Schizosaccharomyces pombe: one gene and its partners. The main gene of each other region encodes a partner of the protein of the gene in region 4 in a complex. Each region holds a gene or a part of one and is shown on either strand. Other genes may lie near its edges. The genes, in order: SPOM_SPBC16A3.14, nam9, rsm10 and mrp4.

Evidence for each region.
Region 1: mrp4 (region 4) and SPOM_SPBC16A3.14 share a complex: the UniProt entries of both Schizosaccharomyces pombe proteins name them as parts of the mitochondrial small ribosomal subunit.
Region 2: mrp4 (region 4) and nam9 share a complex: the UniProt entries of both Schizosaccharomyces pombe proteins name them as parts of the mitochondrial small ribosomal subunit.
Region 3: mrp4 (region 4) and rsm10 share a complex: the UniProt entries of both Schizosaccharomyces pombe proteins name them as parts of the mitochondrial small ribosomal subunit.

The regions. Positions count from the first base shown.
Region 1 is NC_003423.3:4,269,025-4,273,871, forward strand, and holds SPOM_SPBC16A3.14 (mitochondrial ribosomal protein subunit S26), read right to left. Parts: upstream 3,009-4,847; 5' UTR 2,914-3,008; coding exon 2,107-2,913; 3' UTR 1,967-2,106; downstream 1-1,966. Other genes in the region: nda2 (tubulin alpha 1), read left to right, coding at 1-21, 112-1,424; meu7 (alpha-amylase 4), read right to left, coding at 3,317-4,847. UniProt on the Schizosaccharomyces pombe protein: Component of the mitochondrial ribosome (mitoribosome), a dedicated translation machinery responsible for the synthesis of mitochondrial genome-encoded proteins, including at least some of the essential transmembrane subunits of the mitochondrial respiratory chain.
Region 2 is NC_003423.3:3,727,492-3,732,391, forward strand, and holds nam9 (mitochondrial 37S ribosomal protein uS4m), read right to left. Parts: upstream 1,859-4,900; 5' UTR 1,798-1,858; coding exon 1,762-1,797; intron 1,709-1,761; coding exon 761-1,708; 3' UTR 704-760; downstream 1-703. Other genes in the region: rns1 (putative RNA-binding protein), read right to left, coding at 1-166, 214-319, 386-577; mpg2 (mannose-1-phosphate guanyltransferase), read left to right, coding at 2,326-2,366, 2,430-2,469, 2,570-3,733; protein Pex14, read right to left, coding at 3,941-4,528, 4,589-4,861. UniProt on the Schizosaccharomyces pombe protein: Component of the mitochondrial ribosome (mitoribosome), a dedicated translation machinery responsible for the synthesis of mitochondrial genome-encoded proteins, including at least some of the essential transmembrane subunits of the mitochondrial respiratory chain.
Region 3 is NC_003423.3:3,867,565-3,874,035, forward strand, and holds rsm10 (mitochondrial 37S ribosomal protein uS10m), read left to right. Parts: upstream 1-2,603; 5' UTR 2,604-2,728; coding exon 2,729-2,808; intron 2,809-2,874; coding exon 2,875-3,481; 3' UTR 3,482-3,643; coding exon of another isoform or gene 3,644-5,200; 3' UTR 5,201-5,256; downstream 5,257-6,471. Other genes in the region: mri1 (methylthioribose-1-phosphate isomerase), read right to left, coding at 1-1,037; protein Cwf3, read right to left, coding at 3,644-5,200, 5,259-6,074. UniProt on the Schizosaccharomyces pombe protein: Component of the mitochondrial ribosome (mitoribosome), a dedicated translation machinery responsible for the synthesis of mitochondrial genome-encoded proteins, including at least some of the essential transmembrane subunits of the mitochondrial respiratory chain.
Region 4 is NC_003424.3:3,063,740-3,068,435, forward strand, and holds mrp4 (mitochondrial 37S ribosomal protein uS2m), read right to left. Parts: upstream 2,528-4,696; 5' UTR 2,471-2,527; coding exon 1,679-2,470; 3' UTR 1,587-1,678; downstream 1-1,586. Other genes in the region: SPOM_SPAC24C9.09 (threonine--tRNA (Thr) ligase), read left to right, coding at 28-1,452; sgd1 (ribosome small subunit biogenesis protein), read left to right, coding at 2,849-2,918, 2,968-4,631, 4,675-4,696. UniProt on the Schizosaccharomyces pombe protein: Component of the mitochondrial ribosome (mitoribosome), a dedicated translation machinery responsible for the synthesis of mitochondrial genome-encoded proteins, including at least some of the essential transmembrane subunits of the mitochondrial respiratory chain.

The DNA of each region.
Region 1 (4,847 bases), on a different chromosome or scaffold from region 4:
CAGGTGTTCAAATCGGTAACGGTATGTTCAATATCCATCTTTTTGTATTGCTGTATACTCTAAATAGTTGGCAATCGATTTTTTCATAAAAAATTTAGCTAACATTTCTAGCATGCTGGGAGTTGTACTGTTTGGAGCATGGCATAGGACCCGACGGTTTTCCTACAGAAAACTCCGAAGTTCACAAAAACAATAGCTATTTAAATGATGGATTCGGTACATTTTTTTCTGAAACCGGGCAAGGAAAATTCGTACCTAGAAGTATCTATGTTGATCTTGAGCCTAACGTTATTGATCAAGTTCGTACTGGACCGTATAAAGATCTGTTTCATCCTGAACAGATGGTAACTGGTAAGGAAGATGCTTCTAACAATTACGCCCGTGGACATTATACTGTAGGAAAGGAAATGATTGATAGTGTATTAGAAAGGATACGTCGTATGGCTGACAATTGTTCTGGTCTCCAAGGTTTCCTTGTATTTCATTCTTTTGGTGGTGGTACCGGCTCGGGTTTGGGTGCTTTACTTCTGGAGCGCTTGAACATGGAATACGGAAAGAAATCTAACCTCCAATTTTCTGTTTATCCCGCCCCTCAAGTGAGCACATCCGTTGTTGAACCTTACAACTCTGTGCTCACTACCCATGCTACTCTCGATAACTCTGACTGTACCTTTATGGTTGATAATGAGGCTTGTTACGATATCTGTCGCCGAAATCTTGACATTGAGCGTCCAACCTATGAAAACCTCAACCGCCTTATTGCTCAAGTTGTCTCTTCTATCACCGCTTCTCTTCGATTTGCTGGTAGCTTAAATGTTGACTTAAATGAGTTTCAAACTAATCTTGTGCCATACCCTCGTATTCACTTTCCTTTAGTCACTTATTCTCCTATTGTCAGTGCAGCTAAAGCATTCCATGAATCCAACAGCGTACAAGAGATTACGAATCAGTGCTTTGAGCCTTATAATCAAATGGTAAAATGTGATCCACGAACTGGCCGCTATATGGCTACTTGTCTTTTGTATCGTGGTGATGTTATCCCACGTGATGTCCAGGCTGCCGTTACTAGCATTAAATCTCGTCGCACCATCCAATTTGTTGATTGGTGCCCTACTGGTTTCAAAATCGGTATTTGCTATGAGCCACCCCAACACGTTCCTGGTAGTGGAATCGCTAAGGTAAATCGTGCTGTTTGTATGCTTTCAAATACCACCTCGATTGCTGAAGCTTGGTCTCGTCTGGACCACAAGTTTGACCTTATGTACAGCAAGCGTGCTTTTGTTCATTGGTATGTCGGTGAAGGTATGGAAGAAGGTGAATTTTCAGAAGCCAGAGAAGATTTGGCTGCCTTAGAAAGGGATTACGAAGAGGTTGGTCAAGATTCTATGGATAACGAAATGTACGAAGCTGACGAAGAGTATTAATTTATCCAATAATCGCTTTTATACGTTATTTCATTCGTTTTATAACTTGAAGATATCTTGCATCTACCCTTGTCTCTTTAATCTTTGTTTATTCAGCCCTGTGGTCAAATAACTAAAGGGTGTCTGTCTTTCTTTGAGAGTTAAAATGTTCACCCAGCGGCAAGGAGATAAATTGCTCGTCCACTTATCTCACTGATTTTTTAACTTGAACATTCTTTTTCTTTACTAGTCAATTCTCATTTAGATATCAATCTAATCCACTCTATCTTTGCAAATAAACCACCAGTAAAATTTCAATTTCTCCTTTCTGTGGTATCTTTTTTTTTTAATTTTGCATGAAAAAGAGACACTATAAACTGTAAATTACATTGTGTATTGGCGCTTTTCTAGCTTTACAAAAAAAATGTTTTTAATCTCAACCTCTAAGCAATAAATCGGTTAATTGGTTAATAAATTACTTAACTTATATGACTCGATTGCTCGGAATTAGCCTAAAATCATTTAGAATACGAGCATGAGCCAAAACAGTCTACTGTAGAAGTTTCAAGGACGAGTAGAGAAAACACAATTTTTATTAAAATTAGAATGAAATTTATAAGGTGAAAGTAGAAAAAGGCGTTTTTTTAAAATCATAACAAGATTGTGATGAGATATAATTATCTAAATTGATTGCACCTTTCTTTCATACCAAAGAATTAGTCAATCTTTCCTCAATGACAGACCAATCTATGCAATCAAACCATGTGTCGATGTATCTTGAGCGATTTAAAAGACCGTAATCTTTATAATATGCATGATTCCATAAACAAAGGTTTAAAATGGGAACATGCGCATATTTTCGAGGTCTGGCACTATAATCTGGCACACTAGAAATAAGATGGGGATCATTTGATTGCCATCTAGTCCAAAGATACGGAGAACCTGCTTGAAAAGTTCTCAGTAAGTTTAATCTATTATAATCATCAATTACAATCCAAAGCCAACATGCTCCAAAACTATTTGAGGCAAGCTCATGAATTTTAGAAAGTAAATTTTCTTTAGAACCAAAGTTTTCATTGACTGCTTTATTGATAGCGGCATTAGCTTCATATTTTGAGTTTTTTTTGGCATCTGCAGCTCTTTTTCCGATCAAGCTTTGAAAAAAGAAATGATTGTTGTAAGCTTGACTTGCAAACTGGAATGTGGCTGCATGCTCAGGCAAAGCGGCTGTTTGAAAGATAATGTTAAACACAGATGAATCCTCAAGTTCTGTTCCCTTCACTCGATCATTTAATTCTTTTACTACTTGACGTTGATGCTGGTCCCAGGCAATGTCAAGAGCTTCAGGACTGAAAAGTGGTAGCAAATTTCTTTGTGAAAGATTAGGAACTGTGTGGTAATTGTAGCAATAGTTTACTCGATGCACATTGTCTGTAACTGAACTACATCGTTTCAGAAGGTGAGTTATCGGTGAAAGCGCAAGCCCTTTTCGTAGACCTGTGTTGAGCATAAGCAAATTATCTGAATATTAGGTATAACTTGCTGAAATACCTATATAAACCAACAACGAAGTATTTAAGGGAACTGGACGTGTTTGGGTATCGCAGCTCGCCTTGTGTCAAATACAAGTTAGCCACACCACCGCAATTATGAATACGTTTGGACGGTTTGCGTCGGATATCATTATGGGAGTTTAAATTTTTTTGGCTAAAGCTTTACTTGAGTACTTTGTAATTTAAAGCCAAAAATTAAAATGGATTTACCCGTCTATTATTTATATTGAGGTGACTTATCGTTCATGAACTTCAGTACAGAGCCCTATGGGTCTGTAAACTAAGTCATCATACTTTATATGAAAAAGGTTTATGTAAAATAAAAAATCTGTATATTATTAGATTTCAAGGAACGTATACCTACAAAATCATTAACAAAGATAATAAAAGAGCGGCGAGGACATTGGTAAATCCTCGATTTTGCTCTGGTGCCTTTGATGTTTGGGCTTCTTCAACGTTAATGGAGAGAGAACCTTCACTGTTATAATCTTCAGTAAGCTGAATTGGAGATGGGCACAATCCCATCTCATAAGCCGATTCCTCTGGGTACAAGATCATGGGTTCACCGTTGCGTACCATAAATACCTGTCGATTATCTTGTACTGGAACGGACTTGCAAGATAATACGTCCATCCACTTGTGCTCTTCTGCCGAAACAGTATAATGGAAATGAATGTAATATGAACCTAAGTTGTTGAGTACGGTTATTACTTTGCCACGTCGTAAAAGCAATATTCTTTTATCAACGATGCTAATATCCGACTGCATATTTAAGAAAGCTTCTCCGTCTTTGCTTTCAATCATAGCTTTGCGGAAACGATTGATTGTAGACGTGAACTTATAGTAAGGATTTCTTTTTGGGAAACCTTTCTCCCAAATTGCAGGTCGATTATAAGGAACCTCTTCACCGCGCATGGCAAGTTCTTGGCCGTTGTACATCATAGGAATACCATCTCCCATAAGAACAAAAGCAATTGCATTCTTTAAGGTGGCTGGATCACTAGAAATTGAAGCCATTCTAGGAAGGTCTTTGTTCTCAACGAAGTTTCCTAACAATAGGGGATTGACACACAAACCGCGCATGTCAGTCATTTTGTCGGCAAGATCAACAATTCCCTCTGGATTATTCATCAAAAATGCTTTTACAGCAGATTCTCTAACAGGGAAGTTACTCAACCCTTCCAAGTCGTTTTGCCAATCACAAACTTTTAAAGAGTCGGAAGATTTCAAGTCACCCATGCAAAACACTCCAGCAGCTTTGCAAAAATCTGGCCAGTACTTTCTATATTTGTCACCCATAGCATCGAAACGAATACCATCAATTTGGAAAGTTTCTACAAATGTTTGAATATAGTCCTCGAGAGCCCCTTTAGCACTAGGACGCTCATGAACTGAATGGTCTTCATGGCAAGAGCAGTGTTCCTCGTGCTTCCAAGGCTTGTGATCGGGCTTGGTTCCATTGTGGGGAACTGGACGAGGGAACTTACCGTGATGGCAGTGTTCCTCGTGCTTCCAGGGTTTATGGTCAGGCTTGGTTACATTGTGAGGAACTGGACGAAGGAACTTACCATGGTGGCAGTGTTCCTCGTGCTTCCAAGGTTTGTGGTCAGGCTTGGTTCCATTATGAGGAACTGGGCGAGAGAACTTATCATGATGGCATGAGCAGTGTTCCTCGTGCTTCCATGGCTTGTGATCGGGCTTGGTTCCATTGTGGGGAACTGGACGAGGGAACCTACCGTGATGGCAGTGTTCCTCGTGCTTCCAGGGTTTATGGTCAGGCTTGGTTCCATTGTGAGGAATTGGACGGGGAAACTTACCGTGATGGCAGTGTTCCTCGTGCTTCCAGGGTTTATGATCAGGCTTGGTTCCATTATGAGGAACTGGACGAGGG
Region 2 (4,900 bases), on a different chromosome or scaffold from region 4:
TTTTCGTAGTGCTTATGGTTTTTGTGTAGTGACTCAAAAGGAAAACGTTTTATCGATACAAACAACTCCTCACCATCAAGCTCAGCGTTGTTCATCTTATCGACGGCGTTTGCGGCCTGGTCATGGTATACGTATTCTATGTAGCAATACCCTTTATTCAATTCAGCTGCAAAGTTAGTGGGTGTAATTCATAAAAAATAAAAGCTCACTCACATTTTTTATAAATTGGCATGAAAATATGATCAATTAGTCCATAAATCCCAAATATTTCTGCTATATGTTCTTTAGTGACATTACGCGTCAAATTTTCCACAAGAATCTATTTTGCATCGTATTAGAAACGATTAGTATGCCTTAAATAACTAATTATACATGGAAAACGTACTGTTCGCAATGGTTCTTCTGGAGATCTGGAAAGCGAACTCGAGTAAGATCTATTCGAGGAAAAAGAATCACGACTACTAGACCGATGTGAGAAATTGGAAGAACGCGACGCTGAACGTCCAGATGGAGATCGGGTATTGTTAAATTGTCTTGTTGAGCTACGTCCACGATAAAAGGCCTCCTTTTGGTACATGAAAAAAGATGTGCCAGTTCTTGTATGTGTATAAGATTTGGTTACGTGGATAGCAGTAGACAGGGCAGTTACTTCATAGAGCAGGAAAACAAAAGTGGAAATCAACATAGTATTACAAAAAGCATAATTGAGAATGTTTTATATTTTATTACTAAACTTTTGAGAGGAGTTCATTTATTCGATTTATACGAGTTTCGTCAACTTTCCTTGACGAACTGGATACCGATGAGAGAATGCTTCTTTGGGAGAAACATTTCGTTTTTTATATAATTCAGGAGGTCCTTGATAAAATGATGCATCGCGTACTTTCTGCGGAATAAGCCGTCTGGCCTGACATCTAGCTGCTCCTTGCCGCATATTACGACTTCTGATATAGTATGTATAGGCTAAAGCGTGCAAGTCTTCAGGAAATGGAGAAGGAACTTCCGTTAAGCCAGGACGAGCAACTGGATCACGCACATAAACAAAGGAACAAGTGCGGAAGCAAACTTCTAAATAAGCAGGGATAAATGCCATTAGTGACATAAACGGTTTAGGAACAAAGTTGGAAATTGTTTCATTGATAGAGGGCAACTTTCCATTAGAAGTCTGTTCAAATAAATCATCATCATTATCCTTTTTTTTTTCATTTTCTCCATCCTTAGAGGACACCTGTTCAGTTTGCTTCCCATCCTGTATAGAAGGGGTATTGTTACTAGAGGCAGAAACACAATTCATTACTGATTTTTGATCAACAGTTACTAAATCACCAGGTAAGAGTTGACGATAGGCACGGCGTTCAGGTTTTCCGTTTACGTGCACTTTTCCATGAAGCACCAGTTGGCGAGCCTGTAAAGCGCTAGACGCAAATAACGCTCGATGAATAGACATGTCTAAACGGGATTCCAAAAATGCATAAGTCTGATTCATAAAAGGGATGGGAAGCTTATTATCTAAGGAAGAAATAACCCCCTCCAATTTTGGGCGGAAGGCATTTTTCAGTTGATATTCGCGTAATTGAGGACCATGATAAGACCTTGTTTCCTTCTTCGCATTCCATTTTTTTTGATATAAAGTTCTATTATTCAGAGCAGGTAGTTGTTTTCTTGCAATGTTGTATATATTGTATTTGTTCCACGACGGACGCAAAAGCTAGATATGTATTAATAAAAGCGAAAAAATCAATAATTTCATATATAACATACACCGCGCTTTAAAGAGAACCTAAATTTCCCCTTCATGAGCAATTAAGTCTTTGTCACGAGAGTCCAATCTTCCAGCGTAGTGCGTGAAGTTGATGGTAAATTCATAAAGGTGATTAAAGAGAACAAATTTTTAAAAAGGCTACTTTTACTCGAAAATTCAATTAGTAAATTTTATTTATTTAAGTTTTAATGCATTATAATTTGTACCAAAGCTAGAAGGTGCTTTACTATTTTCTGCAAAACAGCTGATGATGAGCATTAAGTTCCTCACGGCTGGCAAAGTGCCTCAGCCTGCAGCACAATTTTTAGATCATGGGTTTTTGAACTAAATTGATTTACATTAGTATTTCATTGTTACATAGAGTATTATCTTCTGCAGCCAGGCTATTAAGTGCAAATATGAACTGGCAGAAGTTAGCTCATAGCGCTACCTTCCTTATTAAACAAAGGAGAGCTGGACAGGACTTGCACAGAACCACACACCAAGTTTCAAGAGGCGTATATCTCTTTCGTTTTTGGTGATTTTGATACTCATTATTGATTTTTTAGTATTAAATTGCTATTATGATTTCCTCTGCTGTCATTCTGGTCGGGGGTCCATCTCGGTACGTACCAACGAAAAATAAGTCTATTAAACGCGTGAATATCAGTAACTAATTACTTTGCAGTGGTACCCGATTCCGCCCTCTTTCGTTTGATGTCCCTAAAGTACGTCTTATTTAGAATTTATATGTTGGTAAAATACGTAATCCAGTTTTACTTTCTAGTTGCATTTGAAACATAAGAGCTATTTTGCTAACTAAATTAGCCTTTGTTTAAAATTGGAGGACGAGAAATGATTTACCATCATTTGGCGGCTTTATCCAAGATTGAAAGTGTTAAAGATGTCTTTTTGGTTGGTTTCTACGATGAAAGCGTTTTCAAAGATTTTATCAACGAAGTAGCTTCGCATTTCCCCAGTTTCAATCGTATCAAGTATCTCCGTGAATACAACTGCTTAGGAACTGGTGGCGGCTTATACCATTTCCGTGATCAAATCCTTAAAGGACATACTTCTAATGTTTTTGTTATGCATGCGGATGTGTGTTGCAGTTTTCCCTTACAAGAATTGTTAAACGTTCATCACGAGAAGAAAGCTTTAGTTACTTTAATGGCTACTAAGGTTAGTAAAGAAGATGCTTCTAACTTCGGTTGCCTTGTAGAGGAACCAAGTACTGGGCGTGTACTTCATTATGTTGATAAGCCAAGCTCCTATCTTTCAAATATTATTTCATGTGGTATTTATATCTTTGATGCCTCTATATTCGATGAAATCAAAAAAGCGTACGAGCGTAGACTTGAGGAGGTCGAGAAGCAACTCAGGTCCTTGGATGAAGGAATGGAAGACTACCTCAGTTTGGAGACCGATGTGCTTGCTCCATTGTGCTCAGATTCCTCTAAAGCCATTTATGCTTATAATACTCCTGAGTTCTGGCGTCAAATAAAAACCGCTGGCTCTGCTGTTCCTGCTAATTCCTTGTATTTACAAAAGGCATATCATGATGGTACTCTTCCAAAACCCGACACTGAGGCTGAGATCATTCAGCCGGTTTTTATTCATCCTAATGCTATTGTTAGCAAAGGTGCAAAGATTGGACCCAATGTTTCAATTGGTGCTCGTGTTCGCATCGAGGATGGCGCACGTATTCGAAACTCAATTATTCAAGAGGATTGCGAAATTTCTGCCAATGCTGTTGTTTTACATTCCATTCTTTCCCGCCATTGCAAGATTGGTAAATGGTCTCGAGTCGAAGGTTCTCCAACTCTTCCAAGCCAGCACTCCACTACGATTATGCGTAACAGCGTTAAAGTCCAAGCTATTACTGTTATGGGCGCCGATTGTATAGTCCATGATGAAGTACGCGTTCAAAATTGCCTTGTACTTCCTCATAAAGAAATAAAGGTTGGTTTGGTTGGTGAGATTGTGATGTAAGATACTACATTTAACCTTGCAGCAAACTTGCTTTTTATTATATCTACTTGACTCTCCTTTATTATATAATATACATTTATTAGCTGATGCAGAATGCAGATTGTTAAATGATTAAGATGCGTCTTGACAGACCAGTTAAATGACATTAAGTATTATTCTAGAAAAAATCCTGAATTTAATTGTTATTAGTGATTTGTTTTATTACTGTCAATAAGCATCTTCTGCAACGTAAGACTCTGCGGGATCAATATCATTGAAATCAATGTTTTTAGAAGCCTCGTTATGCATTGATATTTGCCAATCTGGAAGGGAGGCAGTACCAACCTTTTTAGTTTGAAAACCTTCTGAAGTATCTAAAGGATTCTCTAATACTGGTATCGAAGAGTTTGATGTGGTAGCGAAAGTGTCGTCTTTTTTTGAATCAGTTTGTAAACATCGTAGAGAGCTAATTTCTCTCGAAAGGTTTTGTAATGCTTCTTCTTGAGATTTCTTAATTTGCTCAAGACTTTGTGGTAAAGTAATAGTACTCATGGTATATACATCTTGTGAGATTCTAGCTATTTCACGATCTCGGTTTTCGGACGTACGCTTCAAAGTATTCAACGTCTCTTCTAAATCATCTAACGCAATGTCCAATTCATCTTGCTGTTTTTCAGTTCTCTCGGAAAGCTTTCTTGTTTGTTCATCTAAATTTTCGAGTATTTTATGAGCTTCTAGAAATTTAGCATCCAAAGCGTTTTTATCAGCTTCATAAGCGTTTTGAGATGGTGCGCGAAACATTGGTGCTATGTATTTCTAAATTTAATTATGTTAAAACAGCACGAATATTTTAAATGTTCAGTTTTTTGAACGTACCTTTACTAATGAATACGCCGACCATGCAAATCCAGTCGAAATAACGCCCATAATAAACCAATCTCTCCAATCTCTTGAAACAAAATTACTAGTGTTTTCAAATCGAGGATAAGAAGGGAATAGCGGATTTTTTGCTAGCTTGAATGCTTCTTGAATTTCTTCGGCAGTTAAACCTTTGGATTTTAGAAATTCAATCTTTTTCACATCAGGAGCATCTAATACAGTTTTTTCTCTTAAAAATTCAACGGAGTTTCTTAACAAATCCTCCCTCATTTTTCAAATTGACAAATGCTTTGTACCGAATTCGCTAGT
Region 3 (6,471 bases), on a different chromosome or scaffold from region 4:
CCTTTTTCTGTAGCGATGGCAGTTATTAAATTAGCAGGTGTAACGTCGAAAGCTGGGGAATACACGTCAATCCCAGGAGCAGCAATAGAAATTCGAACACGCTTTGGATCCTCTAGATTTCGGCTGTTAGAGTCTGTGATTATGGGGCCTGTAATCGTGGTCATTTCAATCGGAGGTCGCTGTTCAATGGTAATCTGAGAACCAGACGCTAAACTAGTGTCAATTGAAGAAAAGGGAGCAGCCACTATGAAAGGCTTTCCAAAGTGTTTTGCCAAAATAGCAAGATTATATGTGCCAATCTTGTTTGCAGTATCGCCATTACGAGTAACGCGGTCGGCGCCGACGACAATGGCATCGATTTTGTGCATAATTGAAGCAACCGTGGAATCTGTGACTAGAGTTGCTGGAATTTTATCATGAACCAACTCAAAAGCAGTGAGACGAGAGCCTTGGTTATAAGGGCGAGTTTCTGTACAATAAGCGTGTTCCAAGTTCCCCGATTCGTGTAAACTACGAATGATCCCCAAAGCTGTACCATAACCTGAGGTAGCTAAAGATCCAGTGTTGCAATGGGTCAAAACGGTGAGCTTGTCTTTATCTTTGTAATGCTGCAACAAGAATTTTCGGCCAGCAGTTCCAATATTGTGGTTGTCTTCTAAATCTTTTACTAGCATACGCTCCGCTTCCTGAATAATTTTATTTCGACAATTTTTTCCTTCTTGAAGAGCAATGCCTTGCATAAACTTTGCAGTTTCAAAAAGATTGACAGCGGTAGGACGAGACTGTTTGAGATGCTCAAAGCTATTTATAACATATTCTTTTGCATCTGCATCTTCAGAAAGATGTTTTAATCCGACAGCCACACTCAAAGCTGCTACAATAGCAATAGCTGGGGCCCCACGAACTTGCATTTTTTTTATGACAGCGAATGCGTCTTCTACATTACTAACTGAAATGTATTTACGCTCGTACGGAAGAAGTAATTGGTCTAATACAAGAAGCTTGTCCTCATTATAAATGATTGCTTGCAACGACATTCTGCCCAAATTTTTGAATATCTCTGCCTTTGAAAACTTTTACTTCACTAGCGCACGAACGCACATGCATCAGATAAAATTAAAGGATTTGATGAAGCTCGTAGCGATGCATTAATAGAAATAATGAATTAATATAAAGTTACACTGTGTAGTTTACTTAGGAACAAAAAATAGTACATTAAGTTTAATATAAATTTATAAGAAGAGTTAACGCAGTCTTTCGTACTTTTGACACTGCTTATAGATAGATAAAATTAGCAACCCTAACTTAATATTGTGCTTCTTATTTATCCGCACTATTTGATATGCATCTAACATTTTGAACGCGTAAACAAAAAATTTAGACTCATTCAAAGATGTAAGTTCCATCGTCAAATTATATTACCAAGTTATTTTGATAATGAGTATGGTGCCTTGAATTATAGATTAAAAAATGTATCACCGAATTTATTTTTAATAATGAGTCGATCTGACATATTAGAATCAAGGAATAATAATATGCATTGATGTTTTATGAAGGAATTACAGCTGTAGAACCTATGTATACAAACTTCAAACTTTTAAAGATGAGAACGATATATTTTTTTCGTTTTCCAGAAAAGCCATGCTTGAAGTATTTATCAAGATGTTCGGTAGTGTCAATTTAATAATCATATGTGCGACTTTGACTTTGACATGCAGCAAGAAGTTGTTGACACCAACCTATCTGCTTGAAAAGTGATACTCGTTTGCAATACTTAAATATATATATATATATATCAGTGATCGCAAGTCAGTTTTGAATGCAGGATTGGTAAACAAGGGTCGCAAGTTAATATATTTATATAGCTGTCTGCTGTAACAGTTTAACATACAACCTTGAAACTGTAAAACATTGAATATTTTTCATTGTTAAAGCCAATTTAAATGAGAACGATTATTGTGTTACGAGGTAAGCATTTAATTCCAAAATCCCTATGTATTCTTGTAGTATAAAGTAATTTGAATGACAAATCAGTAGATTCTTCCATAATTGCAAGTAGGATGCCAGTCCCAAACCTTTAATTCCTAGCTCAAAAGCACAATTGTTCAGTTCACACTTTTGTTAACTTCCGGAATTTGTTATTGTAAAATAATTGTCTCCTCATAATTTTAAAAAATTACATCTCATTGCTGACTGAGAACTCTCATCATACTGGTCAATTTTAAATTGTGCTGAAAGCCTTATAATCACAAATATTCATGTTTAATCGAATTTTTTTGGTTTTCTTCACTATGGTGCATCAATAATATTTTTAGTACAGTACAATCACACCCACCTTTGAATTCTAAACTTTGACCTTCAAATGCAAATAAAAAATTTATAGTTAGATCGTTCCATCATAGTATAAATTACAGAATGATATTGCTTTTTTAAAATAAATGTTACCATCTACGTGTTTTTCAAGGTATTCACGCGCGAACGACATTTAAAATGATTTCGCTCCGCTTGTTTATGTTCAATTAAAACATTGATTAATAACCCCTTAGTCCTACGATAATTGTGTTAAACTGAATATGATGGTGGATGACAAGTGTAGCTCGACCATTACTCCCCACTCCAACCAAAAAATTTTGTTAAAAAAAAACACCTTTACAGTGTTTAATTGTTGGAATTTTGTTCTTGTGGTTTTCTTAACAAGTATTTTAAGTAACCGGCTAAAATATTAATCATGAAACGGTATATGTTTGGTACATTACCTCGCGTGCAACCGAAACGTTGTTTCCAGACAGCTATTGGCAAAGAATCACCGTATGTATTCAATCCTTTCCTCTAATTTAAGCTATAATTTTGTACATTCTAACCCCAATTTATTAGCAAAGGGAACAGCGAAAAGGATCAACTTTTTGAGAATCCATTTTTTCAACAGCTTCCTTCCAACGTTGCAGCTGTATATTTGAACCCTGTTAAATTCAATCCTTCTGAAAACGACGTACTTTGTGCTTCTCTAAAAATTAAAAGCTTTGAAACTCCAAAACTTGATACGTTTACCGACTTCATTTGTCGAACAGCGTATTACATGAAAATTCCAATCAAGGGTCCACGTCCATTACCCAACAAAGTAGAAAGCTGGACTTTACTCCGATCACCTTTTATTCACAAATCTTCTCAGGAGAATTTTGAACGTATTACGCACTCTCGACTTATACAACTGTACAGTGTCAATCCAGTTACTTTAGAAACGTTTTTTAGTTATTTACGAAAATGCAACATGTGGGATTTAAAATTGCAAGCAAAAGCTTATGAATACGAATCCATCGATGATGCCCTTAAAAACTTCGAGTCACAGTCTAAGTCTACTGATAATTTCAAAGAATTGTTAAACGGTCCTTCGAAAAAAGATATAATCACACAAAATGCCGAAAAATTGCTCAGAAACGACCCCATTTACAAAGATTTGTTAAAAAATTCATCTCGAAAATAAAAATTAACTAATGTGTTTTCAATTACTCTGATGTTGGACCGTTTATTAGCAAAAATACTCTGACTGTATTCGTACTTTTTTTTTTAACAATATGACACTAGCTTTTCTTCATTAAAAGTGTTCTTTAACTAAAAACGTTACGAATAGTCCACACTTGTTTCGTTAGTTTTCCTCACCAGTAATTTTTGAAGTTTCTTGGGGATTGCTTTTCGAAAGAACAAAACCCGCAAGTGCCTTAGGTCCTTCAGATTTTTCCATTTCAAGCTGTTCCATTGGATCCATTGGTGCTGCTGCACTTTCAATTTTAGCTGCTCTCTTCGCTATATGAAGGGAATCAGTGCTAAACTTAGTTTGTACAGACCGTTTAATACGAAGCATTTCTTTAACTGTTTCTTCTGGATTTCCGTACCTTATTTCAAATTCTTGCCATGCTTTCCAATAATCCGTTTCAACTCTTGGATCACAGTATTGACTTCCATGAATATATATTAAACGAGCACGATCGATTTCACCAAGTTTCGTCTCCATTTCAGCAAACCTTAAGCACATATCTTTGACTTCTGAGTCACTCAGGGATTCAATAGCCTTCTCATAAACTGTCCTTGTCGCCAGTACACCATAATTTAATGCCACTTTAACGAGTAACACATTGTAAATAGCAAGACGGTCTGCTGTTTTAACCTTGTCGGCCGCTTTTTCTAAAATAGAAATGGATCTTTTTGCTTTGCCAAACTTTTCTTCGAAATCGGCATACAGAAGATAAATACTTTTCGAAAATTCGGGCGGACATCCTTCTAATGCTTGTTCAAATAAATCCCTGGTCCTTTCCATATGCGTTCCTTGATATCGTTTAACAAATTTTGTTAAATATAAATTCCAAAGTTCAAAAGCCACGGGATAACTAAATAACGCAACACCTCTCTCATAAATTTTAAATGAATCTTCAAAATAAGCATTCTCCTCTAAGAGATTTGCATAATTGACAACCACCTGGGGAGTAGCAATTTTTAGTTCAAAGACGCGGTCGTACAATTTGCGTGTAGTTTCAATCGTACCAACGCTTTCCTCAAGATCAAGATAATACATCCATATCTTAGATGACTTGTGTAGCCGTACTTGTGGACTGAGTGATTCATCAAAAAAGCTGATATGACTTTTTCTAGGAGCATGAACGGCATCTCCTATTAATTTTCTCGCAGCGTCAAAATTTTGATGTCGAAGTTCCATCTCGGCCCAGTCAATCCAAACTTGTGCTAACTCATTGACTGTTTTATATGGTACATGAGTAGCCTTTTCAAAAATTATCCTTGATTGTTCTAAATCATCAAAATTTTCATAAAAACGAGCAAACTCTGAAAACAATTTGCCGAGGGAGCCATGCGCCAGCTTTGGATTTACATTTTTTATAGCGTCTGTGTAAACTTGAACAACTTTTTCGCTGTCGTCTTCTAAAAACTTGACTCGGCGAAGCCATTCGTCAACGTTATTTATATTTTGCCTTAATAATACATCATTGATATAAAGCGGACGTTTGTCAAGTATTTTCTCGAGCCAGGCCATATGAAAATCGATACTTAATTCGTCATTTGCATTTCCGCTGCTTGCTTCAACTCGTGCAGATAGCCATTGCTCTTCGAATTCAACAAAAGCATCGAATATAATTGTAAAATTTCTTACAGTCATTATGTTATTCATCCCTTCATAGAATGTGCTTCTTGCCTGTACGATAAGTTAGTTTTTGCAATAAGGGGTCAATAAACAAACCAGTTAAACATACCTTCTCGTAGTCACCAATGCGTATATAATATTGTGCCAAATAAGTCCATAGTTTCCCTGCTTGATCAGAAAACCTTTTAATGCCAGCTCTAAAAACCTTTTCTACGTCTATGTTTTGCGTATGGTCAGGATGCTGAACAACTAACTCGGAAAACTCGAGCCATATCTGATAATTGCTCTTCCTTTTTGCTGATAAAAACACGGGCCGATTTAAAATATCCTCATATTGTCGAGCAGCTTCATTCCACAGCCCTAATTTACAAAGTATCTCAATGTAGTTTTCAATTGCTCTTGGTTCTACTTGTATATATCTGCGGTAGACATGGATGCAAAATAATCCTCCAATATCTTCAGCATATTTCGTAAACATGTCCCAAATATCATCGTGCTGAGTTACCGGTAAGGCGCGAAGTGCAGAGTTAAATGTACAACGAATCTTAGTGACATTTGGTTGTTTCATCAAAAATTGTAAATATAGTTTCCAAATAACAGGCATTTTATGCAATAAAATCAAAGAGCGCTCAAAACAATCGTTTACAGAAGCAAAAGCTTCGGCATGAAAATATGGGTTCAAATGTTCAACATGCGCTACACGTAGTTCCAAATAGCTTTTCCATATTTTATAGCTTCCCGGGAGTTCTGAACAAGCTCTTTCAAATAAAAGCACACGCTTTTCCAAAGTAGATCCTTCATGGGTCTTTATATATCGTAACCAACTTTTCAGAGAATATGGATCACGTAGCAATTCAAGCTCAAACGGCTCGTCATCAACATTAATTAGATCAAAATTAACTTTCAGTGGAATAACATCTCCCATTTCTAATCCTTTTGATTGTTTTCTAAAGAAGCCCGATGTAGGCTGTTGTCGTGCATACAATAGACCTTGGGCAAGTGAAAAATATGAAGTTCAATTTTAACCCCATAAGATGAAACTTAATTGAGAAAGCACATTGCTTATAAGATATAAAACAAATAAATTACAGAATTAAAAGACTGTCTATATGCCCACCTCTAGGGAATTAAGCCAAAGTATGTTGATAAATCAGAGCTACAAAATACAGCCCTTCGATTTCTATTTCATTTGTTGTAAATCACTATCCATAACGACCTTCTGCTATTTAACTACCCTTATCAGTAAACCTCTTCTGTACTTCGAATTTATTCATTGATTGCTATATTCAAATTATATTTATACGAAACGCAAAATCGCTTCA
Region 4 (4,696 bases):
GTAAAAGAAAGCTTATAGATTTAACGAATGATGAAATTAAAAAAATTTCAATTGCATACTCCATTCGCTCATTCATGCAATCGGGTTGAAATTTACACAGCCCGATTCGGGCCAACGCCTTTTTCTACAAAAGCTAATAACCTCAAGCAACCCGAATCAACTTTGAATGATCACCGTACTATAGCAGCTCGCCAAAAATTGTATACTACAAGTATACTGACTCCCGGTTCAATATTTTTTTTACCCCACGGAACGCGTATATATAATCGTTTAGTTGATTTTCTACGAGCTCAATATCAAATACATGGGTTTGAAGAGATTATAACGCCTTTAATTTTTAAAAAGGACTTATGGGAAAAAAGTGGTCATTGGCAAAACTACGAGAAAGAAATATTTCGTGTTGAAGAAAGCCGTAATGTCGAGGATGAGCATTCCAATGCCACTTATGGATTAAAGCCTATGAATTGTCCCGGACATTGTATTGTATATGCTAGTACTGAACGTTCTTACAAAGAATTACCCTTGCGGTTTGCAGATTTCAGTCCATTACATAGGAATGAAGCATCAGGCGCACTTTCTGGACTAACTAGATTAAGATGCTTTCATCAAGATGATGGTCATATCTTTTGTTCACCCGAGAGCATAAAAGACGAGATAAAAAATACTCTCACTTTTGTGAAGCAAGTTTATTCTTTATTGGGAATGAACAAACTAAAACTATACCTTAGCACCCGACCTGAAGAGCATATCGGTTCTTTAGATACATGGAATGAAGCAGAAAACGGGTTGCGAGAGGCTTTACAAGAAAGTGGTGAAACGTGGATCATCAATGAAGGAGATGGTGCTTTTTACGGTCCTAAGATCGATGTAATGGTTGCAGATGCTCGTGGAAAGTGGCATCAAACGGCAACTATTCAATTAGATTTTAATTTACCTCAACGATTTAAATTATATTATCGCACAGATGCGGGAGACAATGCCGGGTCTGAGAAACTCATTAAACAACCTGTAATGATTCATCGTGCTATATTTGGATCCTTAGAGCGCTTTATGGGAATCCTTATCGAGCATTTAAATGGACACTGGCCATTTTGGCTAAGTCCTAGACATGCTGTCATTTTACCAGTCAATCAAACAGATCGAATTCTAACTTATGCTAAGCAAGTACAAAAGGAATTGTCTAATCAGGAAGTCAATGAATCTGAATTTCTCCCACTCAATAAAAATACCTATTATGTGGACATAAACGCTGAAGCACAATCTATTGGCAAACGGCTACGTGAATCAAGACTTTTAAATTATAATTATGAAATTGTCATTGGAGAAGACGAAGTTGACAAAGAAATTCTCAGTGTATCTAGTAGACACAATCATAATTCAAGGGATACTAGAAAGATGACTATTCAACAATTGAAAAAAGAGTTTATAGAAAATGTGAAAGCATACCGATGATTTCCTTTCGCACAGCAAAATATGTCTGTCTTTAACAAAAATTTTGGCATCAAATCATTGAAATGTGATATATACGTTATCCATAATAATTTATTCTTTCTTTTTAACCTTTCGTTTACGAATCATTAATTTTATTGAATACTAGTGAAAATTAATCAGACCTTATCTTTAATCATGTTTAGAAAAATCAAAGAATACAGGCATTTTCAAAACAATGAGAGGGGAATCATAAAGGAAGTGTAAATTTATCTTTTTCGAAGGCTTGGTTAGCTTTTTGGTACTCTTGCTCAGCTACCCTACTCAGTAAACCAGCTATTAAATCTGTACACCGTAAAGAATCATCATTTGCTGGAATAGGATAGGTAACCATCCTTGGATCCGCATCAGTATCAATGATTCCAATTGTTGGAACATGAGTTTTCTGTGCCTCTAGACAAGCACTTTTGTTTTCTAATGGGTTTAGTATAACCATCAAATCAGGAAAGACATAACTTGGTTTTTTATCAGTTTGAATCAATTTCCCTCTATTATCTTTACATAAAATTGAACCGCCAAGCTTTCCTTGTACTTCTCTGGCATTGGTGAGAAGTCCTGGTAGCCAACGATCAAATATGTGATAACCTCTAGCACGTTTGGCAGCAGCAACGACAGAATCTTTCTGGCCGTTTCTGGTGCCAATGAACAATATAATTCCATTTTCTTTAGCTATTGATCTAACGACGGATATAGCTCTTCGTAGGTAAACCATGGTTTGATCCAATGATATTATGTGAATACCTTCTCTTTTACCATATATAAAGGGCTGCGTGTAAGGATTCCATATGGATGTAGAGTGTCCTAAATGAGCACCAGAAGACAACAATAAAGGAAGACTAAGTTGACTAGGAGGTGCCGGATTTCGAATGGATAATGTCGGTGAATAATGGGGAGCTACAACTGCACCTATTTTGTGATTCCAGTCACGTATTTTTAAACGACGAGCTACAAGTTGCTCCGGTGATAATTTCCGTGAAAGCATAATACAGACACGAATGACTCGAGCAAAATGAAAGCCCGTTTGGTGTAGTAGTACTTTAAGACTTTGAAATCGCTGCACGATTGCAACATTTCCACTTCGATATGCTTTATTAGTGTGATACTACATAGAGCGTTAATGTAAAATACAGCAGCAGAGTGACAACTTTAAATAGCATTAACAAATTGCGATATTGTATACAGTTCCATTAGCAGTGTTGTGAAATTCATTTGAAACGATACGCCAACTCGAGACTGAGGCCCAATTCTTCTCTTTGTAAAGCAATTATACCAGTTTTTGGTATCGTTTAATTGAAAAATTTGGTAGTTCTTGAGCTTTAGTATTAATTATCGTTTGTTTAATATTTAAACATTCGATAGTATGAGGCCAATTAAAAAAAGCAGAAGCTTAAAACTGCCCAAAAGTATTTTAGAAGAGATAGGAGAATCTGGTAAGCTTTTTTTTATAGATTTGGTCAGTATATTTAACCAAATTGATAGATTCGAGTGCTAGGCGGGGAAAGCGAAATCATAATCTACCTCATCGTGAAAAAAGAAAATTTGCTAGGATCTCTCGAGGAAAAAATGGTTATGAAAACCGGAAGATTACAGAAGAAGGTGATAGTAAGTCTTCTGAACTTAATGATGATTACTTAGATGCTCACAGAAAGTCATCTACAAAAAAAAAATCTTCACAGAATAAACAGGCAAAGGAGAGTAAATTACTCGATCCCATTGCTTTTCAGCATAAGATTGCTTTGGAAGAGGATGATCGTGAAATCGCTCATTTAGAAAAGATGCTTGGCATCAAAAGCAAAGATAAATCTGCTCACTCAAAAATTGACAAGGAATTTGGATGGCTTTTAGAAGACCTAGATCAAGAAATTGATGACATAGGCGTTCCGGGCACTGAAGATCCTTCATATGGTCATTCAGAAGACTCTGAAGTTTCAGACGATACAGGTGACCATGGTAGCGTTGATGAGTTGGAAAGTGAAAGGGAAGGAAATTCGGGTGAGGAGGAGGAAGAGTTTCATGGGTTTGAGTCTAATTCTGATGAATTCCATCAACCTGAAACTAAGCCGATTCGGATGGATCCTTTGAAGCCTGCAGTCCCATCCTTACCTAATGCGAACGTCGGCTCAAAGTATGTCCCTCCATCTTTACGGAAAAAATTAGGGGGAGATAAGGAGTCAGAAGATGCTCTGCGACTTCGTCGGAAATTACAAGGATCGCTAAACAAATTGTCTATCGCAAATATTTCTTCAATTATTAAGGAGATTGAAGTCCTTTACATGGAAAATTCAAGACACTCAGTCACGTCTACCATCACCAATTTGCTACTACAAACCGTAATGGGAAGAGAATCTATGCTAGATCAATTGGCCATAGTATATGCTGCGTTAGCCACTGCTCTTTACCGCATTGTAGGCAATGACTTTGGTGCTCATCTATTGCAAACCCTAGTGGAACGTTTTTTGCAGCTTTATAAATCAAAAGAGAAAGAACCTCTTTCTTCCCATAAGGAGACTTCTAACTTGATTGTATTTTTTGTTGAGTTGTATAATTTTCAACTTGTTTCATGTGTTCTTGTTTATGATTTGATTCGCCTTTTTTTACGCTCTTTAACCGAATTGAACGTTGAAATGCTGCTCAAAATTGTCCTCAATTGTGGAGGGCAGTTGCGATCAGATGACCCGACGTCTCTCCAAGATATTGTTACGGAAATGAATTTGTTATTAGCTTCAGCTGATCCATCAACCATATCTGTCCGTACAAAGTTTATGGTAGAATCGATCACTAATCTTAAAGAAAACAAAAAAACAAAAGTTGCCAATGCTAGCGCCCAATCTAAATTTGAAGCTGTAAATCAGCTAAAGAAATTTTTGGGTTCGTTAGGCAACCGCTCATTAAATGCTAGAGAGCCTTTACGAGTTACTTTAGAAGATATTGAGCAGATTGAGACGAAAGGTCGATGGTGGCTTGTTGGAGCTTCTTGGAATAATGTTCCATCTGGTGACAACACATTATCTACTGAAGCATTACAGGATAAGAAAAAATCAGAAGAACTGACGGCCCATTCAAAAATTTTACAAGCTGCTAAGAAGTTAAGATTGAATTCAACTCTTCGAACTTCGATATTCGTTGCCCTTGTTGGTTCAGAGGTATTCGTTCTAAATTTCATTAACTTTAAACTAACAAACTTAGGACTACATTGATGCATGGGAAA